Tamandua tetradactyla: one gene and its partner. The protein of the gene in region 2 purifies or fractionates together with the protein of the main gene of each other region. This does not show direct contact. Links are inferred from orthologs where the notes say so. Each region holds a gene or a part of one and is shown on either strand. Other genes may lie near its edges.

Evidence for each region. The genes of interacting proteins can lie anywhere in the genome.
Region 1: the proteins of NOD1 (region 2) and RIPK2 purify together in Homo sapiens (affinity purification with western blotting; 4 studies listed by BioGRID and IntAct, with this or other methods). This does not show direct contact. The link is inferred for Tamandua tetradactyla from reciprocal best matches to the Homo sapiens genes NOD1 and RIPK2.

What each region holds. Positions count from the first base shown.
Region 1 is NC_135332.1:133,084,778-133,092,014, reverse strand, and holds the start of RIPK2 (receptor-interacting serine/threonine-protein kinase 2), read right to left. Parts: upstream 3,072-7,237; 5' UTR 2,605-3,071; coding exon 2,432-2,604; intron 1-2,431.
Region 2 is NC_135327.1:92,674,726-92,682,402, reverse strand, and holds the start of NOD1 (nucleotide-binding oligomerization domain-containing protein 1), read right to left. Parts: upstream 3,021-7,677; 5' UTR 2,666-3,020; intron 2,641-2,665; exon of another isoform or gene 1,796-2,640; intron 621-1,795; exon of another isoform or gene 561-620; intron 1-560. UniProt on the Homo sapiens protein: Pattern recognition receptor (PRR) that detects bacterial peptidoglycan fragments and other danger signals and thus participates in both innate and adaptive immune responses.

The DNA of each region.
Region 1 (7,237 bases), on a different chromosome or scaffold from region 2:
AATTTAAAACCTCAGTCAAAAAATGGTCATGCTGCGTATAGAGTAACTGAACAACCAGTCATACTCCTCTACTCCTTGTGGGTGGGGAGGTTTTGGCAAAGGTTTTCTCATTGGTAGAAGGCAGGTTATGAAGAATGATTCCCCAATCACTAAAATAAGGACATATATCATGAACATAAATCTTTTTATATTCAGTTGATCTAAAAGAACAATTCAACCAATATCCATGCCAGGGCCCAAGTACATGTATTTATTAGTCCCACTTTATAAATGAGGAAATGGACACCTTGTGAGTCAACTGCATGGCTCAACCTTAAACTCAGACTACAAAAATACTGCTAATATTAAGATCTTAAGTAACAAATGGTACAAAAGAAGGAGGTATGGCAATGCCACAGTAAGTTCAATGCATTTCTCTTGTTTTTGAGGCTTCTTTGAAGACAGAATTAATTTCCTACCCAATTCTACAGGCGACCTTTAGACTATGAAAATTGTGTAATGAGTATGGAGGGAGAATGTTTTCCCTCCCCCTTCACTCTTTTGCCTCCAAATGGCACAAAGCTTAGAATTTAAATTAAAATCTTGAGATGCAGCAGCAGCATTCAAAACGGGAGAAGGACCAACATGCTTTAAAATATCATATAGGTGGAATAAAAATAAATAATAGGGGGAACAAATGCTAAAATAAATTTAGTTTGAAATGCTAGTGATCAATGAAAGTGAGGGATAAGGGGTATGGTAGGTACAATCTTTTTTTTTTCTTTCCTGTGTTTGTTTTATTTCTTTTTCTATTGTCTTTTTATTTCTTTTTCTGAATTAATGCAAATGTTCTAAGAAATGATGAATATGCAACTAAGTGATGATATTGTGAATTACTGATTATATACATTGATGTTTTATTTGGCTTCTTAATTTTTAAATTAATAAATAAATAAATTTAAAAAATATATATCGTATGGGTCCCTCAGTGCTAAATTTCCATTTGCATAGATGGTTCTAAAATATATCCACCCTCTCTGACCAACCAACACCCTTCAAAGTTGACTTCACACACATACTTGCTCAGCACTTGCTCCACAGAATTACAGGCCCAGGGTAAACAGACACCACACCCTGTATGTCACTGTCCTGGGATGATGGCATACAAAAAGGGGGGACAATCTCCAGAAGCGTCCCAAATCTACAGCCCGCCCAAGCCTGATAGTAAGAGGCCGTAAAGAAAGGGTACAGGAAGGTGAAAATCCAGTAACATTGGCAGGCTGAAAGCTGAGGACTCGATCTGATATTGGACACTAACTGCTTGTATCCAATCAGGGATCTGGTACCAAGTATTTTGAATTAGGTACAGGTCAAGAACAGAGTGCTGCTCTTAGGAATTTTAACTAGTGCAGGGCCTACCTAGTTAAATCCCTATTGCAAGGACAGAACACAAAACTAGTGACTGGACCCACTAACTAATACATTCAGCCACAGGTCTGCAAGTATGATAGCAGTTTCCCTGGAAAGAGAAATCAATGCTAGCTTTCCCTTGAAACCTATACACTGCACTATTTTTTTTTCCAGGACGCCAGAGGCATTTTCTTTGACCATTTAACAGTCCTCAGCTTATGTTAGTGCAAAAATAAAACAGATTTCCTTTGGGTGTGGTTTTGATATTTAAACTTTCACGACCACGAACAAAACAAAAACAACAAAAAGTTCAAACCTCTAAAATATCTCAGACTGTAGTGGAGCGCTGTCCAATAGAAATACAAGGGGGGCCATATATGTCATTTCTAGCAGTAGCATTGTAAAAAGTAAAAGGAAACAGGAAAAATGAATTTGGATAAAGTTACCATTCAGCACGTAACATATGAAATACAGAAATATTTGATGGTTTTTTTTCATAGTAAGTCTTCAAAATCCGGTGTATATTCTACAATTACAACACATTTCAATTTGGACCGCCGCATTTCAAGAGCTCAAAGATTGCCTGTGGCTTACTGCGAGCAACGTATTGGAGGACAGCCCAGCTCTAGAACCACTTAAACACACACACACATACACAGAAACAACCAAAGCAAACACAACCACGCCCCCTCGAAAAACACACATCAATTTCAATAAATAGGGCATTCAGAGTTGGGCTGTTATTGCTGGGTTTTAGTAAATGCAGAGAGGAAACCTAGGAGAGTAAAAGAGGAGGAAAGGAGGGCAGAAGAGAAAGGGCAGAGGCTACACGAGATGAGCGTAAGAGTCCAATTGCTGCCTCCGCAGAGCCAGCGCGCTCTCCCCACCACGCCAGCCCCAGGCCTTGCAGAACAACCAAGAGTTGATGAGGGGAGTGGTCACTGCCGTTTGGGATCCAAAATCCGCTGGCCCCGGACAGGCGTCTGCGGAGAGGGGTGCAGCTGGTCTCGGGGTCGGCCCGGGAACCGCGCTGGCGCCCTACCTGTCGAGCAGCGGAGTGTGGATGTGCAGGTGCTTCACTGCCACCTGAACGCGCCAGTCCGAGTGGCGGGCGGACGACACGGTGCCCGAGGCGCCGCGGCTCAGGTAGCGCAGGTCGGCGAGCTTCTGGTAGGGGATGGTGGGCAGGGCGCTGCAGATGGCCTCCCCGTTCATGGTTGCGGCGGCGCGGACACTCTGGCCAAGGCTGGTTCCCGGTTTGCCCGCCGCGGCTCGGCCCCGCCGTTCCTGCGGCTTCTCCGCCAGCGCTCGGGCTCCGGGAAGCGCCCCTGCGCCAGGCAAGCGAGGGCCTTCCTACTCCGAACACTAAGTCACAAGGTCGCCCATTCTCCAGCTCACGCCGGATCCTGCACCGCCCGCTGCTTCTTCCGAGCTGGAGCGGACGCTTCTTTTCTGGAAACAGTGTTGAGCTCAGGAGCGCCGCGCCTTGCCAAGGAGAAGCTTCCTATCCGGGACGGGTTCCTCCCAGCCGCACCCCGCCACCCGGGCCGGGCCGCCGAGCTCCTCCCCCCAAACTTCTCAGGCTACGTCAGTGGCGGACACTGCGCCCGCGAGAGGCAGGCCTCCCGGGCAAACTCCCGCCCCGCGTGAGCCCCGGGAGATCCGGGGAGGCTGCGGCTGGGCCAGGGAAGTGAGGGACGGGGAGGGACCCGGGGGCGCTTCTTATGTTCTCTCTCCTCCCGCCCCACTCCCCCGCCCCGGGTTTGGAAATTTTCCTTTCGGGGAAGTCCCTCTCAGCGGCCTGCTGGCTGAAGTCCGATTGGTGAGCGGACCCTCCCAGCCCGGCGAATTTTCTTCCGGCCCAAAGTCGGGAGATGGAGATGGAGCGGGTGGGGCTGGGGGTAGGGGTAAGGGGAGGGGGAGGGGGAGGTGTAGGGGGAGGACGAGCGGAGTTCGCGTGGCGACTCTGCGCCTGTGCAGAAAGCGCTTCTGGGCGCCTGGTGGTTTCCTAGGGCCCCACACAAAATGAGCCCGGCGTGGCCGTAACGGTAAATTTGCCGAACTAGACGCCCGTCTTCCCTCACTTCTAGTTACTTGAGGAGTGAGAGGTAGTTGATAAACCCTATAGGAGTGCAGCACGCTCAGTGGTTCAGCTCTAGTTATATGCTCCTGTACTAGGAATCTGCCTTCCTTCTCCTCCCTAATTTCCATAACTATATAGAGAGATACTGAAAATGACCCTGAAAGAGCCCTTGCCTCTGATTCCAGGTAAGACTGCAAGGATTTATTTCCTACAGATCTGGGAGAAATGCACGCAGTCCTTAATGCCAACAACAACAGCAACAAAATCTGTCTTTCCACCCTTCTTGACAAACATCTTTCTACTTAGGTGACTATTGTGTAGTTGCATAGAGTATGAATGCAAACATTATATTCCATAACAAGTCCACACTAAGTATTTAATGAATTTTAAGGCAACGATACTAAGGAATGCCTGACTTAAATGGAGGAATTCTGCCTACAGAAAATCACTGCTTCTGTATTTTTTGAAACAATTTTTGAGATATAATTCACATATCATACAAGTCATCCATTTAAACTGTATAATTCGGTGATTTTTAGTAAATTCGCAGATATTTGCAACCATCACTACAGTCAATTTTAGAACATTTTCATCACTTCCAAAAAAAAACCAAACAAAACCATGCCCTTTAGCTATTACTTCCCTAAGCAACCACTAATCTGCTTTCTGTCTCTGATTTCACTGTTCTGTACTTTTATATGAAAGAAATCAGATAATAAATGGGATTTTGTGAATGGTTTCTTAGGATAGGGTTTGCGATATTCAGCCAATATGTGTCATGTATTGGTACTTCATTCCTTTTTGTGGCCAAATAATATTCCATTGTATGGATATACCAGATTTTGTTTATCAATTTGTTTGTCATTGATAATGGCCATTTTTGTTGTTTCTATCTTGACTTGAATAATGCTGCGCTAAGCATTTGTGAACCAGGTTTTTCGTTTCTTTTGGATATATACCTAAGGGTGGAATTGCTGGTCATTTAATTCTACGTTTAACCATTTTAGGAATTGACAGACTCTTTTCCAAAGTAAATGCACCATTTTACATTCCCACCAGTACTGTCTGAGGCTTCCAAATTCTCCATTGCCTTGCTAACATGTTCTCTGACTTTTCTATTCTATTAGCCATCCTAGCGGGTGTGGTATGATATCTCATGGTCATGGCTTACATTTCCCTGATCTTGAGCATCTCTGCGTGTGTTTGTTGGCCATTTGTGTATTTTCCTTGAAGAAGTGTCTATTCAGATCCTTTGCCTGTTTTAAAATTAGGTTATTTATCTTTTAATTTTTTTCGTTGTAAGAGTTCTTTATACATGCCAAATATCAAAAACCTTATCAGATACATAATTTGCCAATACTTTCTCCCATAATGTGGGTTTCTTTTCACTTTCTTGAAGCACAAAAGTTTCAGATATTCACAAAGTTCAGTTTACCTATTTTTTCTTTTGCTGTTTGTTCTTATTATGTCACATCTAAGAATCTCTGCAAAAGCTAATATCAGGAAGACTTAACTCTGTGTTTTCTTGTAAGAGTTTAGCAGTTGTAGTTCTTATCTTTAGTTCTTTGACCAATCTTGAGTAAATTTTTATATGTGGTATGAGGAAAGGGTCCCATTTCATTCTTTTGCCTATGGCTATCCAGTTTATCCAGTACTTTTTTTTTTTTTTTTTTTTTTTGCCTGAGCAGGCACTGGGAATCGAACCCTAGTCTCTGGCATGGCAGGCAAGAATTCTGCCTGCTGAGCCACTGTGGCCTGCCCAACACTATTTGTTTTAAAGACAATTCTTTCCTCATTGAATGGTCCTGGCATCCTTCTTGAAAAATCAGTGACAATAGATGTATGGGTGTATTTATGGACTCTCAATTATATTCCATTGATCTATATCTCTGTTCTTATGCCGGTACCAAACTTTCTTTTTTTTTTTTTTAAAGGAAAGACAGAGAGAAGGAAGGAAGGAAGGAAGAAAGGGAAACATCTTTAAACATTTTCTTGTTTTATTGTATTTTGTTTTTTTGTTTTTGTTACATGGGCTGGGGCCGGGAATCGAACCGAGGTCCTCCGGCATAGCAGGCAAGCACTTTGCCCGCTGAGCCACCGCGGCCCGCCCGGTACCAAACTTTCTTGATTACTGTTGCTTTGTAGTAAATTTTGAAATTGGGAAGTGTGAGTCCTCTTACCTTGTTCTTCTTTTTCAAAATTGTTTTGGCTATTCTGGGTCCTTTGCAATTCCACATGAATTTTAAAATCAGCTTGTCAGTTTCTACAAAGAAATCAGCTGGGATTCTGATAGTGATTGTATGGAGTCTGTAGATTAATTTGAGGAGCATTGCTGTTTTAGCAATGTTAGGTTTTCTAATCCATGAAGATGTTATGCTTTTCATTTATTTTTGTGTTCTTTAATTTGTTTCAGCAACATTTTGTAGTTTTCAGAGTATAGACTTGTACTTTTTTGCTAGATTTATTTAAAATAATTGACTTTATAGGCTAATTTTGAGTTTTTTGAGAAATTATATTGTTTGGTTATTTGAAAAAAATGAATGAGAAAAATGAGGCAATTATAATTCTATGAAAAATAAAAATTATAGAAGAAAGGAAGAAACATTTCTTCAAACTATTCTGTGGTGGTTATTGAGTGAAGAGTGTAGGCAATTTCAATAGTTTTGATTTATTAATGTTTATTGTACATAACTGAGGATGACAAAAGAGGAGATCCAAAAAGCAAATAAATGTGAAACAATACTCAACATCATTAGCCACCAGGCAATTACAAATTAAAAAACACATTGCAACACCACTACACACGTACTAGAATGACTAAAATTCAAAAGAATATAACAAGTATGGATGAAAATATGGGGCAGATAGAATGCTCCTACAGTAATGGTGCGAGTGTCAGTTGATACAGTGTTCCCCAGAAAACAGTGTCTCAAAGAGCACCTGATGTATTTAATGACAAAAAGTCTGTTATAATGAGAGTCAGAAAAGTACATGCTGGTTTTTTTTGTTTGTTTTGTATTTTTTGTATAGCCGGACACCGGGAATACTTGGCATATGAATTTATTTACTTCAGCTTGTCTTCAGACTCACAGTGGCTTCGTTGTTTTCCTGTGAATCCATTTTACTTCATCAGTATCCTCTTATGTCTAAATGTTCGAAATTCCATATAATCAATGAGAGTGAGATTTGCTGGGCTTGTCTTTGATGTGAATCTATTAATGCAATGGAAGACAGGATTCTTTTTCTTTTCTCTTTCAGCAGTCTTGTTAAACTATTAATTTAGATTAAGCCTGTGGTCCATTGAATTCTCAAGGTTGTTCTTTTTTTTTTTTTAAACTTTTTTATTGTACAATATAACATATATACAAAGCAAAGAAAGAAAGAAGCAATAGTTTTCAAAGCACTGTTCAACCAATTGTTACAGGACAGATCCCAGAGTTTGTCATGGGCTGCCATACCATTCTCCCAGATTTTTCCTTCTAGCTATTCCAGAATATAGAAGGCTAGAAGGAATAAATACTTTTTATCATTACAATCGACATTTTTTCTTTTTTATGAAAAATGACGTATACAAAAAAGCAATAAATTTCAAAGCACAGCACCACAATTAGTTGTAGAACAGATTTCAGAGTTTTGGTATGGGTTACGGTTCCTCAATTTTAGGTTTTTACTTCTAGCTGCTCTAAAATACTGGAGACTAAAATATCAATTTAATGATTTAGTAATCATGTTCATTTGTTAAAACCTATCTTCTCTGTATAACTC
Region 2 (7,677 bases):
GGAGCATTTTTATGTTTTATTAAATATCAATCTACCCAAACCTGGTACTAACTTGGCAATTACCTAGACCCTTGCACTGAGCTACATTTTTAGTCCCTTAAACTACAGCTTTCTATAACTTACAGGAAGAGGTCTAGTAGGCAAAATAAATTGCAAAGAGGTGGTTTACACAAGAGTAACCTAGTGATTTTAACAAAGTTTAAGACAATGAAAATTGCCTTGCTGGCGTAAAAGATGGACATTATTTGCTAGGGAACCCTGCCCCATCAGAGGGTCAAGGTAATATCCCCTCAAAGGGACAGCACCCCCAGCCCTTTGGGTAAGCTGATTCCAGGGTTCCCAGGCTGGAAGGGTGGCGAAGGGTAGGGGTGGGGGTGGGGGTGGGGCAAGCTTGCTTTGACCATTCCTGCACTGCCGTCTCTGCCCACAGGTTAACCTGTTGCTGTTCTAGTGAAAACACATGCTTCAACAAGAATTCAAGCCAAGAAGTCTTGCTTTGACAAACTTTCTAGCACTGAGTACAAACCACCAATTAATTCAAATGGCAAGCAACTACTTACCTCTTAACAAAGGAGTCAGGGTTTGGAAGAGACGCCCTCAATGAGCATTTGAAGAGTTTCCTAGAAACAAGTTGAGGCCTTTGTGGTAGGATGAAAGGAGGCCCTTTGTGTGACATACAAATGTCTTTCTCCAAAACATAAAAGAAAACAGGGTTTCTGAAAACTTGGGGGGATAAAACAGTACCTCCCCAAACTTGGGAAATACCGACAGCTTCTGAATGAAACAAATTCAGCACAACTGCAGATTTGAGCTTTTCCAGTTCCTTCATCTTGCCTAAAATCCACCCAACCCACCTCTACCCCCCACAAAAAAATATCATGGAAGGACCTAATAACAAACTTCAAATTCTAGATTTGTCTTGGATTTTGAACAAATACTGAAACGCTTTTTGCTGATAAGAGACAAGACCTGGATATTCTCATTTGAGCAAATATCATTGTAAAAACACTTGATCTTGATGCCAACATTACCTCACTGTTTATATATGTCTAAGCTAAACAGTGCTGCTATTACTATCAAAATGACTGAGCAAAAAAAAAGAGCAGTTCTTATTGACCATCAGTGACCGCAGAACGGGTACCAGGGTGAGCGGTTCAGCTGGGAGGCGGCATCAGCAACTGCAGGATGTGGGCTCCCCCAGCCCTAGGTCCCCGACTGTCCTTGCTCATTGCAGAAGGACCTTCTCACCGCTCCCAGGAGAGCAAAGCAGGGATGGCAGGGGCGTGGTCTCAGGGTGCCACCCACAAGAGACCCGTGTGTGTGCCCACATTGTCTCTGAGGCCCTAAAGACAATCCAGCTTTCCTGGGACCCATCTTTTATTAATACAAATTTCTTTCGTCAAGAAATCCATTCCTGTCACATGGGGTGAAACTATATTCTAGAGCCATTCATCAGAGAAAAGAAGAAGGCTGTGGTCTGAGATCCCAGACCTCAAAGCACTAAAAAGTAAGGGGTAGGAACCATGGAACCCTCCCCTGAGCAGGGGCAGCAGGGCAGGAGAGGGGCATGGGTGGAGCTCCGACTGCACTCTCCCTCAGAGCAGCGGGCTAAATAAACAACTGTTGGACACTCATCACCCACAGTATGGCTGATAACTACCTGTGCTGGAGCACCTCCCATCTCCCAGCCATTTGATACATTCTCTTTAACTATCTAAGCCCCAAGAGAAAGTTACTATTTTCATTCCCATTTTGCAGGTAAGAAAACAGGGTTCAAAAAGGTCAAGTCACTTACCACAGAAGTGACAGTCTGAATTTAGGCCCAGATTTGATAGGCTCCAAAGCTTGAATTTATTTCTCCATTCCACAAAAATAAAACCTACTCTTCTTAGGCCCTTTGAAAGTTCCCTCTTCTCCTACCGTTCTGCTGCTGCCTCAAATCTACTTTTCTTCCCTGCCAGGCACATGCAGCAGAAATCTGTCCATGGTCCAGAGGCCCTGCTTGCCCAGATTGCAGCTTCCTGCACAGCGTCTACCTCTAGTGAGGACAGTAGGAGGCACGGCCATCCTGTGGAATGCACTCCTCTCTAGCGTCCATGGTAGAGTTCTGTGCCCTGGACACTGGAAATCTTAATCGGAAGGCTTTTAGGAGGGATAAACCCAGCTCTGGCACGCCCACCTGGCTTCAGCCTTGAAATAGAACACAAGGCCACGGGTTTCCTGGCTTCTCCCGACTTAATTTCAGAACCTGACAGAGGAATTTCTCAGAATGCAGAACGTGGCATTGTAATTCGTCTATCCTGGCGGATGTTCCAAAAGACTGGGCACACTCAAGGCTCTTTTAACACGACAGTCAAGGGACCCCGCGAAGCACCGCTTCATTCCCCTTCCCTGCGGTTACGAAGCCGGAGGGAAGTCCACCCTCCACTTCTCAGGACAAAGAAGAACTCTGGGAGTGCCCGTTGCGTGGCAGCCCCCGGCCCCGTCTTTCCACCTTCTTTTGGCGGTCCCCCTTTAATCAATGGTTCTCAACCCTGGCTGCACAGAGGAAACAGCAGCAAGATATATAGGGATCTGGGTCCCACCGCAGAAATTCTGATGGAATTGGTCTAGGATACGCCCCAGGTGATCCTACGGCGGGGCAGCCAGGATTGAGAGCCCGTACCTTCAACAAGAGTGGAGAGATTCCGCTGGCGCTGAAGTTCATCCCTCTGAACTTCCACTGCATTCATTCCTCGAACTCCGCGGTCTCTCTGCGGTGTCCCACCCAAGCTCTTCCTGAGCAGAGTCGCGCTCCGCCCGCTCGCGGCATCCCGGACCCCAGCCCCCTGCGCCTCCTCACTCGCAGCGCCCGCAACCCCAGGAAGCGTCGGCTCCGCGCGAACCCCCACGCGCGAACCCCCAGTCGCTGGGACTTACTTTGGCCGCCAGTTTCCAGGCCACCAGCACCTGGAAGCGGGAGCGCCGGGGAGCGCACCAGGGGAGGAGCACCCCGGGGCCCGGGAGCGCGGCGCCGGGGAACGCAGTGGCCGCAGAGCACCGTGGTTGGGCACCACGCCGAGCCCGCAGCTGCGCCAAGGGCAGGGCCTGAGCGGCTGCCTCCCCGGCCCGGAACGGGAACTGGTCGGGAGGGCAGCAGCGGCCGCGTCCCTCCCGGAGCCCCAGCGAGCCGCGGAGAGAGGCCCCGAGGCGGTTGCTAGGACTGCTGAGGCCGGGTGTGGGAAGCGGCGTGCGCGCGGAAAGCAGCCTGTGGCGGCCCCACAGGGCACCCGCTGCCAGAGGCCCAGGGCGAACGGCGCCGCGCGGTCAGCTCAGGCCGGGCCCCTCAACAGTGCAGACCCAGCACCGGCGACCAAAGCCGACGCCTGGGCGTGACAGCACTTGTCAAAAGGCCAACGCATGCTCCCGGGTGAAAACGAGCTGAAATTGATCAAACTTTTTACTACAGAGCATATGCTTCAGTTTATACTTTTTACAAATCTAAGATTTTCTTCCTCTCACATCTGTTCTAGACAGTGTTCGTTTTATATTCTGTATGTTATGCTGTAATGACTCGTAAAGGAACTTTTTAACGTGCTAATAGACTTCTCAATACAGTTCTTTTTAAGGTTTTAAATGGGAAAGGTCTACATAAAACATACTGATGCTATTAGAAAGTTAAGTTGCTATTGTAAGGAGTTAGTAGTTATATAGGGAAAAGTGTACCTATCGCAAATTGTGGACTATAGTTAACTGTAATATTTTAATACTTTTTAACCAACAGGAACAAATGTACCTCACCAACACTGTGGGTCAATAATATGGGGGATAAGGAGGATGGGATGTGCTGGGTTTTCTTTTTTGTTTTAATTTCTTTTCAGGAGTAATGAAAATGTTCTTAATTTGATCATGGGGCTGTATGCACCACCATGTGATGATACTGCAAGTCAGTGATTGTACACTTTGGGTAGTTTCTATGCTGTGTGAATATATCTCAGAAAATTGCATTTAAAAAAGTTAACTTACTTAGCACACTAAGAAAGTACATTCAATCATATTACGACATATAGTCATGAATACTAAAATTCCCATCAAAAGCTGCTTTCTGAGAAAATGAAAGTTTGACCATGACTCAAAAGTGAAACTTTGCAAACATAACATTGTTGTGATACAATGTGTTAACTTGTAAGCAATAAATTGGAGAATCTGAGATACAAAGTCCTCCCATTTACCCTTATATGAACCTTTTCTCTTCTAGGATTCTGAATTTTGTCCTCCATGTCTTTTGAGCTCTCATGTTTTCCTTGGAGTAGTTTCTTCAGTTCTACCTTTCAATTCATCAATTATTTTGTAGAGGTTTTAATCTTCTGTTTAACCCATCTGAGGTAGGCAGGACAATGTCCCCTTAGCCCTAGATGTTCATGCCCTAATGGTGGAACCTGTGACTATTTAGGTTACACTGCAAAGGGGAATTAAGGTCACTAATCAGCTGACCTTGAGATGGGGAATTTACCCTAGGTTATCCAGGTGGGATCAACATAGTCACAAGGGTCCTTAGAAGTGAAAGAGGGAGACAGAAGACGAGAACCCCAGAGATGGCAGCCTGGGAAGGGCTCTGCCAACACGGTTGGCTTTAGAGTTGGAGGAAGGGGCCAAAAAGTGGCAGTTGCCTCTCAAAGTTGGGAAAGGCAAGTGAATGCATTCTCCCCCAAGGCAGCCCTCATGACATTTTGATTTCAGCCCTAGCGAAATCCATTTCAGACTTCTGTCTTGCAGAACTGTAAGATAATAAATGTGTTGTTTTGTCATTAAATTTGTGGTAACTTCTTACAGCAGCAATAATAAACCAATACAAAAAAAAAAAAAGACAAAAGAAACCAATACACCTTTCCTTTAGCTTCTTAATTTCAAAATTATGTATTTACTTTCTAAGAGTTTTCTTGGTTCTGTTTCTAGTTTTCCGAATCAAGTTTTTAAAGGTGAGACGTGTTCAGTACTCTTTATTTGGTGTTATGTAGAAACTACTCCAATATGCCTTTTGTTGATTAAAAGGCATTTCAGATATGGGGAATGTTAATTAGATTGACACAGCAAAGACTGAGAAGATACAGCGGACATAGCTTATTTTCAGCCCCTGCCTTTAAATAGGCTGATGAACACCAACTGAAATACAGGTGAGTTTTGCTCTGTTCTATGAGACAACGAAGGGATTTCCTTAGTGCTTAAGTATATTCATAAAAACAGTTATATAAATCTAAATATAACACCAATCTCCTAGTAGTTCAGTGGTAGAATTCTCGCCTGCCATGTGGGAGAAGCAGTTTCAATTCCCAGACCATGCACTTCTCAAACAAACAAAACAAAGAGACAAACAAAATTCAACAAATGGTGCTGAAACAATGGGCTACTCACATGGAAAAAGAATGAAATGTGCCCCCGCCATTCAGCATACAAAAAAATAAAATAAAAAATCAATCTCCTATAGGCTGAGTTGGCATTTATTATCTTTGTGAAAAGTTGAATATTACTAATTCAACCCAGTCTCAAGTCCAATTATATCTTTAGAAGGGGAAAATAGTGATAGCACTTGCTGAATAAGAATTATTATGAAAATTCAAAAAGCTTATGAAAGTCACTAGTCTGACATAAAAAAGTTGTTTAAAAGTTGTAAAGGTGATGAGACATCGAATCTGTAAAACTTCAACTTCTGTGTGAGACTAAAGGGGAAGATGTTTATTTGGTGCAAAATTTATATTTTGGGTAGTGCATTTCTGAATTTAACTTGTATGGTCAATTTAGTTGAACACCATAAGTACATGGAATCTTGAATAGGGCATGAGATTGTGTTGATTTGTCCAGGTTAGTGTGATGATCCAATAAATACCAGAGAGATTTGGACAGTGAATAAAGAAGTATTTGCAAAGTCCCCTTGGAGAACTGGGGAGAAAGGGGCAGATACAACTTCCCCATTTCGAGAATTTCTGATATTCTTGCAAGCAGTGGGGACAACCAAATTAGTAGGCCACGCCCTCGATCTTGGGGTTCATCCCTATGAAACTTATTCCTGCAAAGGATAGGCTAAGCCTACTTAAAATTAGGCCTAAGCATCACCCCCAAGAGAACCTCTTTCGTTGCTCAGGTGTGGCCTCTCTCTCTCTCTAAGCCGACATGGCAAGTGAACTCACTGCCCTCTCCCCTCCCCTACATGGGACATGACTCCCAGGGGTGTATATCTCCCTGGCAATGTGGGACAGAAATCCCGGGATGAGATGGGACCCAACATCAAGAGATTGAGAAAACCTTCTTGAGTAAAAGTGGGAAGAGAGAAATGAGACAAAATAAATTGTCAGTGGCTGAGAGATTTCAGAGTCAAGAGGTTATCCTGGAGGTTATTATTACATATTACATAGATATCCCTTTTTAGTTAATGGCGTGTGGGAGTGGCTGGAGGAAAGTATATGAAACCGTAGCGCTCTAGTAGCCTTATTTCTTGAAGATGATTGTATAATGGTATAGCTTTTACAATGTGACTGTGTGATTGTGAAAACTTTATGTCTGATGCTCCTTTTATCTATGGTATAGACAGATGAGTAAAAAACATGGATAAAAATAAACGAATAATAGGGGGAATGAAAGTTAAAATAAGTTGGGTAGAGGGAATTGCTAATGGTCTATGAGAGGGAGGGGTCAAGGATATGGTATGTATGAGTTTTTTCTTTTTTCTTTTTCTGGAGTGATGCAAATGTTCAAAACTATGATCATGGTGATGAATACACAACTATGTGATGATATTGTGAACCATTGATTGTACACCATGTATGTAATATTTGTATGTTAAATTTTATCAATAAAAATTTTAAAAAGTAAAAAATTCAAAAAGCTTGATCATATTCATTAATTATAAGCCAATCTTATTTAACACAACTGTCCAACAAAAAATTTCCTATCAGTCATTCTTGATATGAATTCTAGTTTATGAGATCAATTTAAATATGGTACATGTAAAAAAAAGTCACAAAACATTTGTTTTGTAATAAATAACATAGTAGCCAACTATTGCTCATTAGATTTTTTTTAGATAAGCTATCAAGTCTGTCCTCTCTGCCTTCTTCTTCACGCCAGCGAAGATCATTTTTGTTCTAGGGATGTACTTCTTGGGATTCTATAAATACTTCATGAGTGTCTCCTCTCCCCCAGTGGTGCCTTTGTCCTTCTTAGAGTTTCTATAAGAGAATCCAGGGGCCTCACCTGTCTTCCACCCAAACACAGCATGCAGATTTGGCCCAGTCTTGTGCTTGCCTCCCTTTTCCACAGTGTGGCACTGGTCACGCTTCTGAACAAATCTTCCTCGTCTCAACATTATCCACTTTGGACCCACTCTCTCAGCTTGCATAACACGAGGGTCCCTGCTCAGAAGCTGGATGTCTTGCTCTCTTTCTGGTCATTTTTAATAGTTTCCTGATTCCATCATTTTATTTTTTAAAAATAGTTCAGCATTTTTGCTTGGTTTTAATTAAACTTCTCATTTTGAAGTAATTATAAATTCACATACACTTGTTAGAAATAATGCAGAGATGAGGAAGAACAAAGGAATGTCATTACTGCAGGGAGCTCAAAATAGATGGTAATTAATATTTTAAAATCTCACCTTATGTGTGAGACTAAAGCAAAAAATGTTTATTTGTCCTGGCAACATGG